Linked DNA regions of Arabidopsis thaliana. The protein of the gene in region 3 interacts with the protein of the main gene of each other region in a pairwise test. Each region holds a gene or a part of one and is shown on either strand. Other genes may lie near its edges.

Region 1 (5,857 bases), on a different chromosome or scaffold from region 3:
AAGAAACCGATCTTTTTGTTGTAGAAAATGGAGAGGGAGAGACTGGAGAAGAAGAAGAAACTCGAGCAAGATAAGCTAGATGGTGAGAAAGGAAGTGCCAACAAGGTAAACTTTCATCATACCATCAACTTCCATTGGTCTCTTTTCATTCAAGTGTTCAGTTTTACGTACGAAATGCCCTGTGGTCAGAAGAAGCGCATTTCTGAACCTGAATTTGGCTTTAATGTCACAGCAAATGATGATCTAACTTAACATAGCAAAGAAATGAACTTGCTCGTTGACTGTTTGCTTTTCACTCTCTTGTGCAGAAACCTGAGACAAACAAGCCATGAGTTTATCACTCACAGTATACAGAATCCGGTCATAAGGCAAGCAGTAGTGAAAAACAATAATGCCTTTGACCTATGTTCTCTCTTGGTATGAGAGATCTTGTACTTGTACAGAGATCTTTAACCTTCTGATGTGTGTGTTTGTGTGTTGTAAGAAATCAAGTTTAAAATAATCGAGAAAAACAACCATATGCATTGATTCAAAATACCAAAATGGTTACCAAACATATTTGTGTTTACAAAAAGCTTCCCTATACATTATTTTTATTCTTTGATCATCATCATCATCATCTGTATAAGAAAATACCCAATCCTATTTCTTTCCCTATTCACATAAAATGAGTAAAACCCTATTAAACTAAAGCCATCCCAATTTGTCTCCCCCTTTCTTCATCACATCCGAAACCCAAAATCCTCGAAATGACCAGGATTCAATTGCTGACCGAACTCAGACATAATCTGTTGCTGCTGCGGCGCCTGAACAGGACTCCCGTGTTGGCCAGTCCAGTCCATGTTAGACCCAGGCATAGCCAAAGTAGCATCAACCGTAGTTATATCATGGATGCTCGACCTTTTCCTCTCCTTCTTCACCGAGTTCTGTCTCAGAAAATACTTCTGAGCGTGACTCGCGACTTGCGTCGGTGTCCTCGTCACCACAACGTTTCTCGAGATACTCCTCCAATCTCCCTTACCATATCTCTTTAATCCGATCAGAAACAATCTGCATCAATAAAATTCATATCAAACAATGTAATTAAATCACCTAAATTTAGCAAAATTGCATTTAATTCCTAAATTCTCAAACCAACCAAAACCCTAATTTTTTTGAAATGATTGATAAAGAAACATACTTGTGTTCGTTCTCTGTCCAAGGAGTTCCTCTTTTGCGTTCACTCTCGCCATGTTTAGACCCAAAAGAGATCTGACCAGCGGAATCCCAACCCGCCGCCGCAGCCGCCGAGTCATCCATGTAATCAGGGACATCAACTCGACCAGAATCAATCTCGAAAACATCATGAACCAAGACCTCGTAATGCTCCCTAACTTCACCAGCAGATTTATGAAGCTGATCAGCGATTCTCTCCCACCGATTAGGAGATCCTTCAGGAAAAAGAACCAAAGCTTGCTCAAACATCTTATCCTCCGACCTCGTCCACTGACTTGACGCCATAATCGTTGATGATTACTCAAGTAGAGAAGAAGAAAACAAAAACAAAAATCTGAAATTTGTTGGATATTGGAAGAAACTGTTAGGATAATTTATACGGATTCTTCTGGTTTTTATTCTTGGGAAAGTTTTTTGTAAATAAGAAAATAAAGAGCTGGAAAAATAAAAATAAAAAAGGGAAGGAAGAAGCAGCTCAGAGACCAACTTCAACACGGTTTCTCTGCAATTGGGATGTCTTTTGTCTCTCTCTTTCTCTCAGTTTTATTTTCAATTTTAATTTTAGGGTTAACACCTGACCTGACTTACTGATTTTTTGCTACCAGTTTGTTACAGTTTCTCCCTTTTTATCTTTAAAAATTTTTATTTAAAAGGAAATGCCACTTTGTTTTTCCAATAAAATGGGAACACGTAGCTATTTAAAAAAAAAAAAAAAAACCAACCGCCTAAAAATACGAAAAAGCAATCTAGAAAGACTTGTTTTATTTAGGTTTCACATTCTCGAATCAATCACAGCACTGCACTGTCTACGTCTTCCTTGTCACTATTTTTGTCCAATCCTCTCTCAACTTCACTTTCGTAATTATGGTTATCTGTGATTTTCCATCTGTTTATGATTTTTTCATTTTACTAACCTTATAATTCTTGTTATGTTTTCGGATTTTTTTTTGGGCCAAGGACGATTCTCATGATGAACAAATATTTTTTTTTATAGTGATGGTCCAACATTTGACGTGTTAATTAAATTATGTACCGCAAAGTTTGACTAATTTTTGACAGTTGGGTCATTAATGTTAGTCAAAAAATCCAATCCTCAACTGTTTTAAGTGTATTGACCAGTAAAAGCTCCAAACACACACTACAATCAATCATATTCTATTCATAGCACTTCCATCAGTTCATGCCTTGGTGAGTGTTACATTATTACTTGTTGAAACACATAATGTTAGATTGTCAGCGTAAACGTGGGAAGTGGAAAACATGAGTATATTTGATTTCGAACGTGTTATAAAATAGTTCGATTTATACTTTTTATTAAATACTCCTGTAGAGAAAGATAACACCGAAATTTGTCTTATCTTATCGGAAGAGTTTCATTGTATTTATTAAACTATGTTCTCAACGACCTTCAACAAAAGAAAACAAAGCAACTTCAACTAATTTTTTTAGTATTTTTTTAGCCGTACTTGTTTCTTTCTTCACACGTAGTTTACTTTACTTGTTTTTAAAAATGGTTTACACACTTTTTACTAAATTAATTGGATTGCAAATATGAAGTGGATACGTTACGAAGTCGACCAAGACGCCAAGACCGACTCTTCACCAGTATTGAGCCACGTGTCTTCTGCCAATTGTTTTGCGAGGATACTTTTTGGCATCGGACTGGTGCATCTACATGACGTGGCCTCTTGTTTAATCGTCACCTGGCTTTCCAATTTCCAAATAAAATCTACTAAGCTCTTGCTATTTTAAGCTTTTTATCTGCTACCATATGTTTCAAGTTTTGATATTATCTTCAAAAATATGGGAAAATAAATACAGAAAAATCAAAAAAAATAACTGTGAGTATGAAAAATATGGGGCGATTATTGGATGATAAAAAGAAGGTATGAAATTTCTGAATTGAAAAAAATACATAGAAAGGAAATTAGAAGAGGGGATAAATTGGTGAGGTAAATTTTGAATCAAACATTAAATTAACAAAAATGTAGTAAAATAGGGGGAAAAAAAAGTTTTTTTTTTTTTTTTGGAAATGTGTATGGGCTAGTAGCCCAAAAACAAGGAAAACACAAACTATTGGACTGGACTGATCAAAATAGTTAATGAGCGGTTTTGGTTTATGTAAAAAAGAGAATGGGCCTTTTAGATAGACTCTTTAAATAGAATTTGACAATCTCTTAAGTTATCTATTTATGGATAAATAAGTGATCCAACTTTAACTAGGTGAATTTGACAATCTTAAACTAGTAGGGAGTCTCACTCATGAACATTTTACATATTTATTTTTAAAATACTACACTTTCTTGAATACACAGCTTTTTTTTTGGGTGATATAATAAGGTATCTTCAAAAATTTATATATGAAATCAGATCCTAATATCTTGCTTTTACTGAAACCAAAAATTGTGTTTACAAAACGGCTCACATATCGGATTGGCACTCAAAAGTCAAATCACATATTTTGCCACGGATTTTATATAACTTCAAATATATGGAGAATGGAATTTTTGTATTTTTCAATTAGAAAAAAATACTATAGGGAAAACAGAGATGGGCAGGTCTGGCACAGGGCGTGTGAGACGTGGTCGGATTGAGGCAACCTGAATTTTGCATCTTATCTAAAATTCAGATTTGACCATCCCACTCACTGTATAAACCACTCCACATTATCTTTTTTATTTATTTCATTATTACTCTTTTGTGTACCCAAAAATGTGAGACTTATTGGTGACCATACAAGTCATAATTTATTCTTGTCGAAATTAATTTATATATAAATGTATGCGTATGTGTGTTGTAGATACGAATATGTGTCAACGTTGCTGACACTAATCTAATTATCATTATTGTGAACAAAGAGAGGCTTAAGAGTGTTCGATTGAAGTAGATATTTAATACTATTTGTTTGGATAAGGTAGTGTTAATTCAATGCAGTGCGCGGCCAACCAAAAAATAAAAAGATCAATTGCAACGTGTATCCAGTTACGGGTATGATTGGGAGCGATAGAACTTTTACATAAACATACACAAATCATTCTACAACACTTTTTAATCAAGTTTCATAGATGGTTAGATGAGTTCTATTCGAATTAACCTTATAGTGAGTTTTGGTGTGGTAAAAATAGTGTTGATTTTGGATTACATATACACATGCGGTTAGTTGGTGGTGTTGGTGATTTTGGATTTTGGATTTCAGTGAACAGCATCAAAGGCTCCGAGTTCGACCCATGAAAATAAAATCAGTCAATCCATTGCTTCTTCTTCATCTTAAAGCGTCGAGTCTAATGCCGATTTCTCTATGGAGAATACTCATCAGGATCATGATACAACCTGCAAACATGTTGCGTTGCCCTTATCACAGAGAACAGATCACTCATCTTTTTTTTCAAGAACTCACTCATGCATATTACCACTCACACATACTATCAAATAACACGGCACTAACACTAAAACAAATTACTAAGTTACAAACTGTACCAACACAAGATTTGCGGTTATTTATTCCTCTAAGTACCAAACTATTCGTGTCCTCGTTTTAAAACATTTAAATGCAGAGACAAAATCAGTTGAAGAAGACCTTAATTAGCTGCAAATATGCGATAATATTTTCCTAGTAATGCCAAGTTGCCAACTATAAAAAATGAGAAGATTGTCGAAAAGAACCAACTAATTACAAAAACTCATTTCCTCAAATTCTGGTCACGCTTCGCTTTAAACCTGTGTGCTTATCCATTGAAAACAAAACAACATCCCACGTGTCACCTTCTTTGCCACACGTGTGAATCTTAAACCACACATAGCCGTTAGAGGTAACGTCGTTACCGTGTCTTATGATATACGGAAGTTAACGCCGTTTGTTTAGTTTTTTCTTTTTAACGTCCGTGACGGTTTCATAACCTCGGGAACTAAGTAAGGAAGAGCTTTTGAAGCAGAGAGTCGTTACGTTTCAAACAACCGATCATAGTCATAGACACAATTATGGTATTAATTTCATTAATTAGTACTAATTCCCTATCAATTACAAGGAACGCAATTACAAAATTTTGTCTATAATAACATCAATTTTAGACCCTCATTTCAAGGAAAAATGTGGGAATGATTCTCCAATGACATATTTATGATTAAAAAGTTCATTTCTCAGGTTCGAAATATTTTGACCATTTTGAAATATACTAATAATGTTGTTTAAAAACATATCTTATTAGAATGTTTATATGGTGTTATAGTGTTGAGATATTTTTTTTAAATATAAATAATTGAGTACAAATCTATAAATTTAAACAATAAAGAGTGTTATTAACAATTAATGATAAGTAGTAAAAAAAAAAGAATATTCTTCAATAAAAACCGTAATTCATTTTTTTCCTATTTTTTAAAAAACAAAACAAAATAAGATAACCATAGGAAATGCCACTCTGTTACAACTCAGCAGTCTAATGATATTTAATAAAATACCAATTTTAGTGGTTTATGGTCAACAAAAATAGTTTACAAGCTTAGCTAGATGTGAATACATACTATATACTACCAAACTAGTTTATGATTTGTATATGAATCAATAAAAGCGTTAGCATAATTAGTATATATAAATGTAACTGTAATTGGACCAAAGAGATAAAGCATCTTGGGTTTAGTAAGCTTT
Region 2 (5,506 bases), on a different chromosome or scaffold from region 3:
ATATGTGTGTATAATTAGTTAATTGCACGTGACCTATTTTTGGAAGCATCAGATTTCCCGCCCAATTTTAATTATCTACCCAGAAAATAAAAAAAATTGAAATTTGGGGTTTATCTATGAAATTCCCAAATTGAAACTCTCATCGATTTCGCTGGAATTTGAAGATTGCGATCAGAAATTGCAGATTTTTCGAGGTGAGTTCTTCTCGTCCCGTGACATTGTTAGATTCTCCATAAACAGTGATTCACCAATTATCAACACTTGAGTTTAAATATTGAAACAATTCCCCAATTTCGAAGAACCCTAAAAATAGAGATTGGTTAATTGATTCGTTGATTTCGAGACTTCTTCTTGTCCGATTCGCATACTTTGCATTATTGGATGCTCCAATATATAGTTAAGATCAATATTTAATTGATTTATGAATTTGGATTTTTCCATTTTGAAGCAACATTGATTCAGATTGGTTGAGAGATTGATTCGTTGATTTCAAGGTCCGTGAACGAATTACTCGTTTTAAGCATAATTGTAATATATAATTAACATTTAGACATTGGATTTTTCATTACGAAGAACCCTAAATACAGATTTTGGTTAACAAATTCGAGTGTTATTTTTTTTTTGTTGCCTCGAAAAAAAAACCATTTCTTAGGGAAAAACATGAGAAATTGCAAGAAAAAAACATTGATTCGTCAGACATTGAAAAAAACACATCTCTCTGAAGTGATTCTCTTTTATTTTGACGATCATACGTAGTTAGGTTTTGTTGCTTCTTGTCTCACTGCAGCTTCATGCTTCTCATCCTGCAATAAAAAAAAAAAATGTTAAACAGGTTAAAATGTTGTTGGTTCGAGTTTCATGATGATGAGTGGGTTTATTTTTGTTTCTGGAAGTTTCTTAGGGGAAAGATTTGGGAATCGATTAATATTAGATACCATATTGACAAGGAATGATTCTATTTCTAGGCATATTTTTTGTTGTGGGAGCTTTTAGTTTTGGTTCTGATAAAGCCTGAAGAACACTGAGAAGAGAACACTTGGCTGATTTAGAGCCTCTTATAACTCAATATGATAGAAAGTCAAGAGAATCTCTGTAAAGTAACAAGCTTTATGCTGAAACAGACATGCCCTTTATGTTTTCTTGTCATGGTATTGGAATAGAACTTGTCTATAGAAGTATCTTATAGTGGGCTATTATGGATAAACAAAGTTGATTACTTGTTATTAGCATAAATTGTGTCTTATTAGATTGCAACAAATATACCTCTTTTCCTCATCACGCAGCCTGCCTCTGTTGCTGTTTCCTGTAGTAGTCTTGTAGTCAGGGAATGGCACGTGACCATTCTCGATGCTTTCGATGTCACGAACTAGAAGGTCATACTGTCTCTTAGCTTCTTCTGGTGTTTTACCACCAACAGCTCTAGCAACATTGTGCCAACGGTCCGGAGTGTCTTGGTCATAGACTGCTAGAGCACGCTCAAAGGCTTTGTTCTGCTTAACAGTCCATGAGCCAGAGCCATAAGAAGACATTGAGCCTGATGCCATTGTTTAGTAACTAAAGTTGATGATGTTTGGTTTTGTGTAGTAATAAACCTAGAAAAGAAAGAGATTCTGAGGAAATGATATGTTGCACAGATGTCGCAGAGTCCTTGCTCTTTATAAAGAGGTTTTGGTGTGGGGTAGGGCCAGTTGTTAAAAGATATCTTTGCCAAAACAAAGAGAATTTTAAGTCTTTGTCTCTATAGCTAGAAAAGAATATGAGCAAATTTTTTTGTGGAGATCAGTATCAAAGATCCAAACTAATCAACCAAAGATTGCGTTTTTCCATCCATATTTGGCATATGATGCTCCCTAGACACACTTTTCTATAAATGTTATAACTAATATGTTTACTTTTCTTTCCCAATTAGTGGTTATGACGTCATTCTCTAGATTAAGCTTCTTGTCAAAAAGAAACAGTTTAGGTAATAAATAGTTAGGAAAATCTCTCTACCTATGGTACTTAATTCATGGAACAGTCTGGTCTCTAATCAGAGCACAAAGCTCACGTGCTCGCGGAAAATTACAAGTCTTTGGTTGAAAGTTAGGGACAAGTCTCTATTGACAGATGATTTTCATTGACTAATCAGATTTCCTTCTTATCAAAAATCTCAGTGATTTTGAAACATTGTGAGGATTAATTTGTATCCACAAACACAAAGTTGGAGCTTTTCGTGTGTTCACCATAAGTCATATATTCTCTTGTATAAGAAGAATTCTTAAAGAAAAGTGGGGGCAGAGCTTTACCTTGAGATTCTCTGCCATGAAAACCATATCAATTTATCTAGCTGTATTGATGATCTTTCCGTACAATCATCGACATTTTTCTGTGTTTTCTTGTTGTTGAAAAAAATAAACGTCAACATTGTTTACCTACCTTTTTTTTTCCTTGGCTTGTTGGGTCCATCTCCTTGAAGTTAGGCAACTGTGTTTTTCTTGGTCATATATTGTCTAATGTAGATTCTTGGTTGTTAATTTGTTAAATAATCACTTTTCTTGGTGGATATTCAAATTGTTTCTTCTGTTCTTTAGTGTCTGCATTATTGAATATGGGCGGGAACCAAAAGTTGTCGTATTACAAAATACAAACATTAATGTTTCACATGAACACTTTAATTACCTTGTTTGGTAAGAATCCAGGGTTGGGATGGGCAAATAGATTATTGTCATATAACTAAATTAGGTTGCTAAATAATGCACAATAGGACTAATAATATACATACTTGGCAAAAAGACAACATGCATAAATGGTCCACTTGTTGTTTGGTTTTATCTCAGAAAGTGAGCATTTTGTTTCATTCTTTAAAAGATTTGAAGATTTTCTTTTCATGCAACAAAGGTTGTTCATTAATGATCCACTTGTTGTTTGATTTTTAGTTCATAATAAAGTTGACATTTTGATTTAAAGTCTCAAGATTTTCCCTCTCTCGGAAACACAGGTGATTCAAAGTCCCATGGGAGATGGAGGACCATACTCATATCTTATCACTATTGAATCAGGTTTGTTATCAAAAGACCACAAGACTATATAAAGTTATTGTCTACACACTTTTTAAAGTAAAGCTATTTAAGAACCATACTTCTCGGATCTTTCTTGATAATAGTGTTTATCCATTTCACTAAATGTTATTAGTTTTGCTAAGTAAGATGATATTCCTTTACGTGTATAGGTCTTATGATACTTTAATTTGCTCTCTTTCTGGATATATGCCAATATAAGCACTTATATTATTAAGATATTTTTATTCTAGTTATGATAATGGATGGTTCTGTTTCTAAGATGTCATGGTTTGGTTTCAGGGTAGGGGCGGCGAAACTTCTTATCGAGAAGGAAAACTTTAAACAGAGAAAGAATCTTAACAATAATGAGGCCTTGGGGCACAATATATTCCAGAGAGATAATAGATTGCAAGTTGCCAAGAAATTCTGCTAGTAGGCATTGGGGCACTACTGATATTCTCATCGTCACGATGCTTCACAGCGACCTTCTTTGCCTAGGTATTGAAATGGTAAAAAAGGAACACTTTCCCCACATTTAAGTCATAAGTTTAGGTAAATTCTTTAGCTGTGAAAACGATAATCTTGAGTTCATAAGGTCGATTATTTTGTTGTTGAGCAAGATGGTTATTTTTACTTTCTCACTATGAATAGTTGCATCAGTAAACGCTTGAGGGTTTTATTCTGATATCTCCAGGTCTTGAGTGATCATTGCTGAGAATTTACCCGGAGTAGCTTACAAGGAATCTGTATGAAAAGGAAGGTAAAAGAGTAAGCATTTTAATTTGTTACAAAATTACTGTTGATATTTGGAACCCTTATCCCCAAATCTAGCAAGAAACAAAAACTAAGTATTCTGATTCCTCTCCTAGTGGTTGCTCTCCTTTTGCAACTTGGAAAAGAACCCGAACCTGAAGTAATCACTCTATAATGGAAGTTTCTGTAGCTCAAAATGTTTTCGAAGGATTTTCGAGGATAGTGGTGAGATATTATTATCAACAAAAGAATGATCCCTTTACAAAATTGGATTCGGACAAACTTTACGCAAAAGAAGGAAATGGCATATTATCACCAGGAATCCATAAGAGCTAGTCCCATTTGAGGGAAAAAAGTATCCACAGACACAAGCCTGGTCCAAAATCAGCCATAGTAGCAGCCTATAACAGTAGAGTTCTTTTTATTTTCTTGTTTCTCGGAATCTTTGAATAAAGAACTTAGGAAATGGAGAATCTCCATGCTCAGGGGTTTTTATTGGTTGATGAGAGAATATATAAGGAAAAAGATCTTAATCATTTTCTTTTAAGAATTGATCTTAATCTTCTTCTCATCTGACATTGTTACCATAGAACTGTTGTTTTTGTTCTTTTTTTTAAGAGTGATTTTATCAGTAAACTGCCACTGCTTTTGTTGATTTTTGTCTAACATTTGTAGCAATCCAATACATAAAACTGTTTTCTGGAATAAGTATGTTGTTGTTCAACTAGCTCATAATAGCTTGTTCTCTAAAAAGATTGTTTATTTTGGTTCTGTTTTACACCACTTCTGATTGTTTTTGATACTCCTGAGTTGTGTCTGGCTGTTACTAAACAAGATAACTCATTACAATAAGATCTAAGTTGTGGTTGAAAATGAAAATTAGGAAAACAGAGGAAGTGAAGTAACTATGTGTATAAGTAGTTAACTATTTGGGAATATAACAATCATGTGGATGTAAAGTTAATTACATTAGGAAACATAGATGACTCTATATGTAAAAATTTAGTACTTGTCAATGTTTAAGTTAACAACATATGGATATAATCAACTATGTAAACGTATACTTAACTTTACATCCACATAATGTGGTAAATTCTTAAGGGAGGAAGAGTCATGCCATAGTCCGTCTTCCGAGTGAGGATCATAAATGATAGACTCCCATGGAGTCATATTTCTCTTATGTTTGATCCTTCGTAAAGTGTAATTTTTGAATCGTCTTTATCTTTTTTTTTTTTTTTTTTTTTTTGTTTGCTTAGAAAGCTATTGCATCGATTTATGTTAAAACTTAATTAACAGAGATTGGTAATTGTCTTTTTGTTAATTTGTTTCTTTATTCAATTGTAGATTTTAAATTTAGAGAATGAACAAATATCCTTTTCTTTTTGGGCAAAAAGAATGAACAAATATCTATGATTCAATAACACACCTTTAGACTAAAGAAGAATTATTCTTGAGGGACAAGTTAAAAATAGTATGTTTTAAGGGGGAAAAATTTATGACAACAATTGTATGTACATTCTTCTTGAGGGACAAGTAAATCTATAATTTTATCAAAAAAATAATTCACAGAAGGTTAATCGTTTCACAAACACAGCACTATAACATTGAAACTAAGATATATTTCTTTCCTCAAGGATCATTTTTTTTATTAATTTCAGTCCAACGGAGTTTCAAGCCAAACCCACAAAAAAAATCAGTAACTTTATTTAAGTTTG
Region 3 (10,402 bases):
GTTCTAAGCTCTCTAGTTCGCTTACACTTCCTGACCTTTATAGAAAGCTGGCACCTTTTGCTAAACTTAAACCATTTATTTTGATTGTCAATACCAAGATGGGAGAACTGAAGAAGCTAATTGAAGAGGGTAAAATAAAGTACATAGGTTTGTCTGAGGCCTCTGCCTCAACTATCAGAAGAGCGCATACTGTTCACCCAATCACCGCCGTGCAGTTAGAGTGGTCCTTGTGGACAAGAGACGTGGAAGAAGAAATTGTCCCAACCTGCAGGTATGCAGATTTCATCATCCTTTCATGATGCATAAATCCATCAATTATGTAACGTCTTGTCTTCCTTTCTTCAGGGAACTTGGAATTGGGATTGTTTCTTACAGTCCTCTAGGAAGAGGTTTCTTTGCATCAGGACCTAAGCTTGTTGAGAACCTAGACAATAATGACTTCAGAAAGGCAAGTGCAGAGGCTTTTTGGATGACTTGTTTGATTGATGAACCTTACATAACCTGTGGATAAATCAAATGATTTTATATATAAACTCAATTATTGCAGGCTCTACCAAGATTCCAACAGGAAAACTTGGATCACAACAAGATTCTCTATGAGAAAGTTTCTGCAATGTCTGAGAAGAAAGGGTGCACTCCCGCACAACTAGCCCTCGCTTGGGTTCACCACCAGGGAGATGATGTTTGTCCCATTCCAGGAACCACTAAGATTGAAAACCTCAACCAGAACATTAGAGCTTTATCAGTGAAACTCACTCCTGAAGAGATGTCTGAGCTTGAGACCATTGCCCAACCAGAGTCTGTGAAAGGAGAAAGATACATGGCCACAGTGCCAACCTTCAAAAACTCCGACACTCCACCATTGTCTTCTTGGAATGCTGTGTAAAACTGTCTGAGAGTTTCTCTGGCCAAAGGATGATTTATGTATAGAATATGTTATTTTCTTCTACCCATCTTATATATACGGTGACCATTCTCTGTATAGTCTTAGTGACCTATCGCCATCAGCATGAGTTAAGCGTCCCAGCTGACTTAGGTTTAGAGTTTAGGCACCTAATGGCTAATGCCAATGATGAGTCCTCCCATCATATTTGAACATTTTACCATTAGTTAGAGCCAATGATCTGGAACCTGCCTACAAGCTTCCAATGAGACAAACTATAGGTGACACAAATTGTAGATAGAAACATGAAGACCAAACACTACCTAATAAGACAAACCTTGCCTACTCAAGAAGATCGACATTACTCATTGACTCAAGACCATGAAAGAAAACAAATATCGATTACGTGAAGACTACTGAACACAAATTGATGACACATCTTTGAAGAAATATCACTTAAACACGTACGTAGTTTTTTGTTTTTGGTTAAATCTCATGTAAGAAAGATATTTTGTAAAAGCACTTTTGTAAAAGACATAGGCAATTTGAGAGTTTTTTTAATCACACCACTCATCAACCCAACTTCAACAACTACTCCACTCAGTTCTAAACTCTACAAAAGAGAGAAAGAGAGAAAGCGAGTTGTGACATAAAATCCATGGCTGAAGCTTGCAGAGTTAGGAGGATGAAGCTAGGAAGCCAAGGCCTTGAGGTATCTGCGCAAGGCCTTGGCTGCATGGCCCTCTCCGCTCGATACGGTGCTCCCAAGCCGGAAACTGACGCCATCGCTCTCCTCCACCATGCTATTAACTCCGGTGTTACTTTCTTTGACACCTCTGACATGTATGGTCCTGAAACCAACGAGTTGCTCCTCGGAAAGGTTCGAGTTTATCTTGTTTTGTTCGAAAGAGTGATCAAGATACTTTAGTTTGTTCTGTTTCTTGATTCTATGGTACTAACTTAGACCACAACAAGATTTTGTATGAGAAAGTTTGTTGCAATTCATTTTCTTGTCAGGCTCTGAAAGATGGGGTGAAGGAGAAAGTGGAGCTTGCGACCAAATTTGGATTCTTTATAGTAGAGGGGGAAATTTCTGAGGTAAGAGGAGATCCTGAGTATGTAAGGGCAGCGTGTGAGGCTAGTTTAAAGAGGCTAGATATTGCCTGCATTGATCTTTATTATCAGCATCGAATCGATACTCGTGTCCCTATCGAAATCACTGTAAGCCTCCTCCACAATCCTGCTTCATGTCATGGTTTCAATGTTTCCAAGTTGGCTCTGAAAATGATTCTTTGTCTCTGAATTCCAAGATGAGAGAACTGAAGAAGCTAGTTGAAGAGGGTAAGATAAAGTATATTGGTCTGTCAGAAGCTTCAGCTTCAACTATCAGAAGAGCACATGCTGTTCACCCGATAACTGCGGTGCAAATAGAATGGTCCTTATGGTCGAGAGACGCGGAAGAAGATATCATTCCTATCTGCAGGTGTGAAGAATCAAAATCAGATATAACTTTCCTCTTTGTTTACATGTTTGGTTAACATTTCGTTTATGCTTCACCAGGGAACTTGGGATTGGAATCGTAGCTTATAGCCCTCTAGGAAGAGGCTTCTTAGCAGCAGGACCCAAACTTGCTGAGAATCTGGAAAACGATGACTTCAGAAAGGCAACTACTGTTATTTGCATTAAAACACATGATTAATATACTGTACTAATTTGTGTTTCTTTATTGCAGACTCTACCAAGATTCCAACAAGAAAACGTAGACCACAACAAGATTCTCTTTGAGAAAGTTTCTGCAATGGCTGAGAAGAAAGGGTGCACTCCAGCACAACTAGCCTTAGCATGGGTTCATCACCAGGGAGATGATGTTTGCCCCATTCCAGGAACCACTAAGATTGAAAACCTCAACCAGAACATTAGAGCTTTGTCAGTAAAACTCACTCCTGAAGAAATATCTGAGCTCGACTCCCTTGCCAAACCAGAGTCTGTGAAAGGAGAAAGATACATGGCCTCAATGTCCACCTTCAAGAACTCCAACACTCCACCGTTGTCTTCCTGGAAAGCCACTTAAAACCGCATGAGAGTTTCTCTAGCTAAACCTACTAAAATTAATATGCTAAGGGCTTGTGTAAGCCCACAAAAATAATATGTAAGAGTTTGTGTTGATGTTCAGAGTGTTCAATGTATAATTTTCTATGCATTTCATATACTGCGACCAACCTCTAAATCTAAAACATCACCTTTTCAACCATTTAGAAAAATTTAATACATGGAAAAAGAGGAGCCATACCATATGGTAGCTGATTTGAAGATAAGATTTGAAGAATGAAAATGCCTCTGAAAACCAAACCTTACAAAGATGTGTTCTTGATACAAACTTTAAAGTAACTCTCATTTAAAACCTTACAGAAACAGCTAATCTATACAACCAACTTTTAACATGGATCTGTGCAACGAATTCATATCTTGGATTGACCGCCAAAGCATTTTGGCAACGGAAAAATAATCAGTTATGGAGACGTGAAAGGATTTGTAAAAGGGGTTTTTGGCTAGCCTGCGGTTCATTGTTAATATTAGCCGACAGCACAAAGGGTTCCACAAGATCCCATCTTCTTCAATCCTGTGTTTTGCAAGAGGTTTAGCAGTTGACAAAACCATCATCTTTCATGTGGGTCACGGTGAACAGCTGCCATTTACCAGAGGTTTCTTGTGCTAGTTCCTTTAGCATTGGTCAAAATCCAGTTTCCTCCCCCATCAGTTTCTTGGCTCCTGCTTCAGATAGATGCTCGAGGGAATGGTATAAGATCTCGGCTGAGAGACAGACAGATAAAAAATTATATTTTACCATCAAACATTGTGTTTCCATCATTCACCAGATTTAAAGCAATGTTCTTGTACAAGATCATAGTTCCCTAAAATACTAGAAGCCGATTTTTAGGGGTTATGGAAGTCCTATGATTTGAAGCGATTAGACATTTTTTCATGAAACAGAGGCAAATTTGGTAAGGGAAGCATTTGAGGTTTTTAATCCCTTACATATTCAGGAATATCCACGTTCAGAGAAAATGCAAGATTGCTTACCTGTGTGGCACTTGTCACTAAACTGCTTGCAAGATCATTGTTAATTGAGACAGGCAGAGGCGGCATCCGGCTGATGATCCCAGGCATCTCCTTCATGCTGCAGTAATAATAAGTAAAGAGTATAGTAAATCAAGCTTTCATAGACGAGAAGGTGAAGGACAACAGAGGAAATGTATCATTAGTGATTCAACCATGCTATTAGATCCACATACTCATTCAAGATGGCACTGATGTTATTTCTTGCCATATAAAACAGACTGACGTTATCCTGTGGCTGTATGCAGAAAATAGGATGTCAGGATGGGAATTCCATTACGAAAGGACAACAGCATGTATCCCAACCAAACAATAAGTTGCATTGAATAAAACATTGTGCATGTGAAAAATACATTCTACGATCTTTTTAAAGTCAATTTTCTGCTAATGCAATCTTTTTCTACCAGCTAGCATTTGGATCAGATACAAATCAATTACCTTGCACACAGAAAGGTTTGAGGAGATTTGACTGAAAGCTTGAGCATTCTGCCGTAGACGCTCCATAACCGCATCACTTAGACCTAGGAGAATAAAAGTTTGGAAAATATATATGAGACCGTAAAAATGTGACAGGTGAGAAAAAGGTATCAAGCTAACAAGATTGAGTTTTCTTGGCACAACTAAGGAGATGAGACAATAACTGAGAGAGTCCAGGAACTCTCCAACATCGATAATGCCTATATTCAGGCATGAACAAGATGAACAACAAATTGCCTAGTACATTTGATTGAGATTTCAAACAAGATGCAGTTTGTCTTTCTAAAATAATCTTTCTTTACAGTTACAACCTTTGCAGGAGAGGGAAGGAAATAATACCGACAATACTGTTACGGTGTTACCCAAATAGTACTAACCTTCAAAAGGCATGCGTGCACTCTGGCACATATGGTTCATGGCATATGTAGCATTTTGTTGTGGCTCAGTTGAGAACATGTTCAGTTTTGGGGGTAAATCCACTACCTAAATCAAGGAGAAATCAGTTACTTGTGTGTTGGGTATCTCAAGGAGAACAAATTTGTAGCTGTTTTGAACAAAAAACCATTTGTAGCCAATAACCTCTTGTAAAGCGAACTATAACCTAGGCCACCAACCGTTATCTGGTTATTTACTAACATTACATACCTTTCTATAACTAACCTTCGTGCCAGTACTATGTTCTTCCCCTTTTCTTCGCTTTTGCTGAAAAAAAGGATTTCAATCTTAGCCCAGACAAACTCAAAAGTCATGAATTTAAATAGTTGAAAGATATTAGATAGCAAACTGGCAGTTATTATTAATGTTAAAAAGGCCCCGTGTCAAGACTTATGTTTGTATGAGTCATATATCTGCTTGTACAACTCAAGTCATAAAAAATCTATCTATTTCTTCAGCCCAACTTCATAAAAAAAATATGACAGGATAGATAGTATGGATAAGCCAATAAGGTAATATTTGGCACTATAATCTGTCAACTTTTTTCCCCCATTTATTATATGAATCTTAACACTACAGTGTAGGCCATACTGCAGAGGATATAACCAATGTTTAACCATCGCTCATAGAAATCTTATCCTTCATAAAAAGTAACATATCAAAATAAACTTCAGAAAGTCGAAAAAAGCCCAAGGCTATCTGACATCACTCGTTTGGCGATATTAGTTTCAGGGTAACTACAGAAATCAAATCAAGCTTTAGGGTCAAATCAAGTTCCAACATGACTCCAGAGCTAACAGAAAGCCAGATCTATCGTCAGCAATACTTGTTATTACTCTCCTTGCACACTCTTAACCATACTTTAAACAACCTTTATGATATGGTAAGGTGTCTTTTCATCAATATAGCAATAGAACTTTAAGCCTACCTTATAGCCAAAAAAATATAAAAGAACTTTTCCCATAGGACTTTATCTTTAACAAAGCATACACCCAAAGTAGCGTCACTATGTTTTTCCTCCTTTTTTCATCTCCCAAGCTAAATGACGTTACCAAGATCTCTTTGAATAACAACTAATAAGAAGTCTGCAAGCCACTTATGAAACTTAATGACAATGCATTGGGAACTTACCGTCATCCATTTACATCTCATTGCTACATCCCGTACACTTTTATCTGGTAGAGTTGCTGCGATCTTTACATACTTTGTAACTTGTGGTTCATCTTTAAATCTACAAAAGACATGACAAAGGTTTTAGGCAAACAAAACAATAAAAGACAAACTCGAAACAACATAAAACAGCGCAAGGTAAGAAACTAACACAGAGAAAAACTCAGCCATCTTTCGTAGAAATTTTCTGATACAAAATACATCTATAAGAATCTGAATCAGCTTATGATTCCAGATAACAACACGAGCTATAACAGTTCATATGAAACATAAATGCAAAACCTTTTCCTTCATCTACATATAAAAATTTATCTACTCTAACATTGTATAATAGCTACGAAGTGAGAAAATTTGCAGAGAACGAAGAACAATGGAGAATAACAAAAATACTTACTTTGAAAGACCTTTCTCCAATATATATTGTTCCTCAACAGACCAATCAACAGCCAAAGAAGCTTCATGTTTGAGTCCAGTAACCGAAGTCGGAGAATTTACAGTAAGATGAAATCCAGAAGAAGCATTCATGCTCGAAGTCGCCGAAAACACTAAACCGGTCGTGCTAGTACTCGGTACGCAATAATTATCCATCGGAATCATCACTCAAAAGCTATTTCGTAGAGATTAAGTTGACCTACAACGAAGCACGCCCAAAAACATGTTCAATTTAGGGTTTTAGCAATTTCAGAATCATACGGAAAAAAATCCGATTAAAACCCAACAGAAACCTAAAAGAGCAAAACCTGAGCAAAACCCACCTCGGATTTAGCCAAAATAGAAGATGAGTATGCTTCTCCGTAGCTCGATAGATGGCGTCGATGCAAAAACCCTAAACCCCCAACGATTGGTGATGAAAGTAGAGATACTGAAATCGTGAAGCTACAAAATTCAGAGAGATCGCAATAGAGAAGAAGAAGATTGAAGAATCGTGATTCGATTCGCGAGAGAGTGGTGACAGCAAGATGATGCGAAGAACTTTCGAATTGCAGAAGCTGGCGAGGAGAGAGAGAGAGAAAATGGTGGTTTTGTTTTGTAATGGTTTTTATTCTATTAAGAAACAGAACCACTTTTTATTCCATTGTGGTGGTTTTGCTTTTTTGTTTTTGTCTAGTCCACTCTTTGAAGAAAGATGGTTTGTTCCTCCTTATTTTTTTAAACTTTTACTCAATTTTTGTGAATTACACAGTCACCTACACTTTGGAAATTCAGATATTTAAATTACAACAAGGTATTATAAATCATAAAGTTTGGTATCCATTTCACTAAGTGACATTTGTTTTTTTTGTTTTTTTTTACATGTCTTATGTGAGTTATGAATAATTAAATTTGTTTCAAACTTTTACATGTGTAATTTTATGATAAATCTTTTATTTACTTATATACCTAAATAATCAAGTTGAATTTGTGCATAGACAAAAATGAGACATCAAATTAGTTAATCGATAATAGTAGGATTCGCCGGGGAGAAGGAGAAAAAAAATTAGATGCATGGGTCTCAGGTTCGAGTAATAACCAAAATAACTACAACTTCATTTTTGCATAGACGTGGAGATGCTTTTTGGTTAGAAACCTCGACAACCACTAACGAAGATGAGGACAATGAAAACGTTGTGTTTTGACTTTTATGCCCCTCTAAACCCTAAATTCAATAATTTGGGTCGTCACTCGTCAGCAAGCTGGATCTAATCCACCACTCTCTCCAATTGTCATTCACTCCGGTTTTGCTATTTCCAAGGAGAGAAAGATGATAGCTGTGATCGGATTGCTTCTGGGTTTTCTAGTATCAGCATTGTTCTTAATCCAAGGAAAGCGAAGAAGAACAAACGACAATCAAGAGAAGAAGAGATCTAGCAGTGAGCCTGTAGAAGATGTGGTAAGACCAAAAAGTTACAGCAAGAGTGAAGTCGCAGTACATAACAAAAGGAACGATTGTTGGATCATAATCAAAGATAAAGTCTATGATATTACTTCTTATGTTGAAGAACATCCTGGTGGTGACGCTATTCTTGATCATGCTGGTGATGATTCTACTGATGGCTTCTTCGGACCTCAACACGCCACTCGTGTTTTCGACATGATTGAAGATTTCTACATCGGGGAACTTCATTAGTAAAAGCTTAAAGATTTGAGATTTGATTGAAGATTTGAGATTTCTTCTTAAGTAAGCTTAAAGATGGCTTTTTTAATTCTCTTCTCATTGAAGATTTGAGATTGCATTACCTTTTTGTCTTGCTAGTGTAACACTTCTTCTTCCATTGTATTGCCAAAGTTTCCTCCTTTCTCTTAATTTTCATGGTGAAGCTATGCTCTGTTTCAAGTGTTCTATGCTTAACTCTGTCTCAAGTGTTTTAAATCCATCAATTTTGAGTTTAATCTATTGAATTGCTTTATGGGAATCAATAGGATCATAAGAACATAACTTTTTTACTGCGATGAAGAATCATAATATTCGACAAAAAAGCATAACAGAGATCTCGAGTTCGAGTTCTATCTCTGATATAGACCTAAATCCCAAAGCATAAGCATTGACATCTGGTTAACCAAAACAAACTACCAACGTTCATATGATGAAGGTCTGCCTCCAGGACGGCTAGGACGGTCATAAGGACCTGGTCTGCTTCTGTAGGGTCTTCCCTCATCGCGTATCGGTCCCATATCTCCATATCTGTCACTTGTATCCCTTGCGTATCTGTCCCTGTCATAGCTTCTCTCTCTCCCGCGATATTCATTCTCAAGATGATGTTCAGGCATCCCATACCTATCACTCACAAAACGGTCTCCTGGTGGTGCGTATCTACATTGTTAATACATCAAAAGGTCATGACTTTCCTAAAAGAACACATGTTGGAACATTTATTTAGACCTGAGGACAAGAGCTACAAACCTCTCAAATGGATAGTGATCACGAGGCTCATACTTGTCTCCACTGTCGAAGCGGTCCCTGTAGCTATATCGTCCCCCATCTCGGTCACGGCGTCCATCCATGTAGCGGTCAAACTCACGCTCCCGCTCCCGCTCCCTCTCCAGATCACGATCTCCATAGCGATCTCGGTGTCCATCTATGTCTCCAATACGAGAGCGCATCGCAAGGGGAACTCTGAACCGTTCTCGATCGTCACCAGTTGATGGGCAATCTCGAGCCCAATGACCAGGGCGTCTGCATTTAAAGCACTCATCCTCGGTTCCCTTCCCTCGAGATGAATAGCCTCCACCTTTCTTTAATTGGTCTACATCTTCTCCACCAACTTTGGGCTCAGCTTTGTTCACGGAGATGACCTTATTGCCCAACTCCCTTCCATGCATGTGCTTAATTGCATCATCAGCTCCTCTGCGATCAGTGAATGTAATAAACCCAAAACCACGTGGACGCCCAGTATCTCTCCCCACCATAATCTACAAGTACGCAAAGAAGACCAATAATGTTATTAAAATGCATATTGAGCCAGGAACAAGATATATTACTAAGAACCAGATGTTACATTAGAGTTAAGAAATAAGCAGATGTATTACATTCCTATCTCTCATATAGCATGTCCTAGAAGTGGCAAACTCAGAACATTTACAAGCAAACAGAAGACGGTAGCAAGATTCACAAATTTACTTCATTTCAAGTCCTTAGAATCACACAACACAAAGTCAAACTACAGCTGCATACTTGTAGAAATACTAATCCACAAGAAGTATCACCACAACAATAATCCTAGCAAAACGATGTTGGAGATTAGCCTCTAGCCAACCATACTTTTAACCCTTACAACAGACCTGTTACCTCAAATCAGTTTCCCACAACAAATCCACAGGAATGCGTTTTCCATGCTAATTCCACTAAAAAAGAAGACTAATATTCTGATCAAGACCTAAAAAAGAAGACTAATATTCTGATCAAGACCATTTTTGACCAGAAACTTATCATCTTGGTGTATTGATAGACTACTTAGAGATGCTTACATGTGCCAATAACTGTACTTTTACAATTACAACAACTAGTGGCTCATGATGAATGAGTACAAGAAAACCATCTCAGTGACTACTAAAGCAGATACCACAGGCAAGAGAATAAAAGATGGTTAGTCCTGATTGGTGTCAAAACCACTGAAAAGAGAGCTCAGCTGCAATTTAATCATAATATCCAACAAAACACAGTGACGTCAAACCAAAATTACTGCACTGATGCTGAGACAAGAGCCATGATCTATCTCAAAACTCTTGCATTTCTAAACATACGGCTCTCAAACAGATTTTCAGATCAAGAGGAGGTTGAGATGCATGTTTACTTCCTAAGAAAGCTCTACTAATTCCTCGACTGCATCCTTCAACAAGTCA

The links. Proteins that work in one complex are often made in the same cells at the same time.
Region 1: the proteins of AT1G60670 (region 3) and AT5G04760 interact in a two-hybrid assay, tested with the Arabidopsis thaliana proteins (one large-scale study listed by BioGRID).
Region 2: the proteins of AT1G60670 (region 3) and MEE3 interact in a two-hybrid assay, tested with the Arabidopsis thaliana proteins (one large-scale study listed by BioGRID).

The regions. Positions count from the first base shown.
Region 1 is NC_003076.8:1,373,030-1,378,886, forward strand, and holds AT5G04760 (Duplicated homeodomain-like superfamily protein), read right to left. Parts: upstream 1,759-5,857; 5' UTR 1,501-1,758; coding exon 1,181-1,500; exon of another isoform or gene 1,051-1,180; coding exon 723-1,050; 3' UTR 501-722; downstream 1-500. Other genes in the region: AT5G04750 (F1F0-ATPase inhibitor protein), read left to right, coding at 25-105, 309-332.
Region 2 is NC_003071.7:9,255,692-9,261,197, reverse strand, and holds MEE3 (Homeodomain-like superfamily protein), read right to left. Parts: upstream 1,688-5,506; 5' UTR 1,545-1,687; coding exon 1,264-1,544; intron 804-1,263; coding exon 779-803; 3' UTR 501-778; downstream 1-500. UniProt on the Arabidopsis thaliana protein: Probable transcription factor. Required for female gametophyte development.
Region 3 is NC_003070.9:22,340,376-22,350,777, reverse strand, and holds AT1G60670 (hypothetical protein (DUF3755)), read right to left. Parts: upstream 7,194-10,402; 5' UTR 6,838-7,193; intron 6,714-6,837; 5' UTR 6,680-6,713; coding exon 6,477-6,679; intron 6,144-6,476; coding exon 6,044-6,143; intron 5,180-6,043; coding exon 5,123-5,179; intron 4,961-5,122; coding exon 4,855-4,960; intron 4,522-4,854; coding exon 4,439-4,521; intron 4,239-4,438; coding exon 4,177-4,238; coding exon of another isoform or gene 4,143-4,176; intron 4,062-4,142; coding exon 3,965-4,061; coding exon of another isoform or gene 3,908-3,964; exon of another isoform or gene 3,732-3,907; intron 3,695-3,731; coding exon 3,638-3,694; 3' UTR 3,154-3,637; downstream 1-3,153. Other genes in the region: AT1G60690 (NAD(P)-linked oxidoreductase superfamily protein), read left to right, coding at 99-271, 346-448, 548-886; AT1G60680 (NAD(P)-linked oxidoreductase superfamily protein), read left to right, coding at 1,542-1,763, 1,901-2,104, 2,194-2,366, 2,444-2,546, 2,616-2,954; CB5LP (cytochrome B5-like protein), read left to right, coding at 7,824-8,189; AtRZ-1b (RNA-binding (RRM/RBD/RNP motifs) family protein with retrovirus zinc finger-like domain-containing protein), read right to left, coding at 8,630-8,873, 8,964-9,472.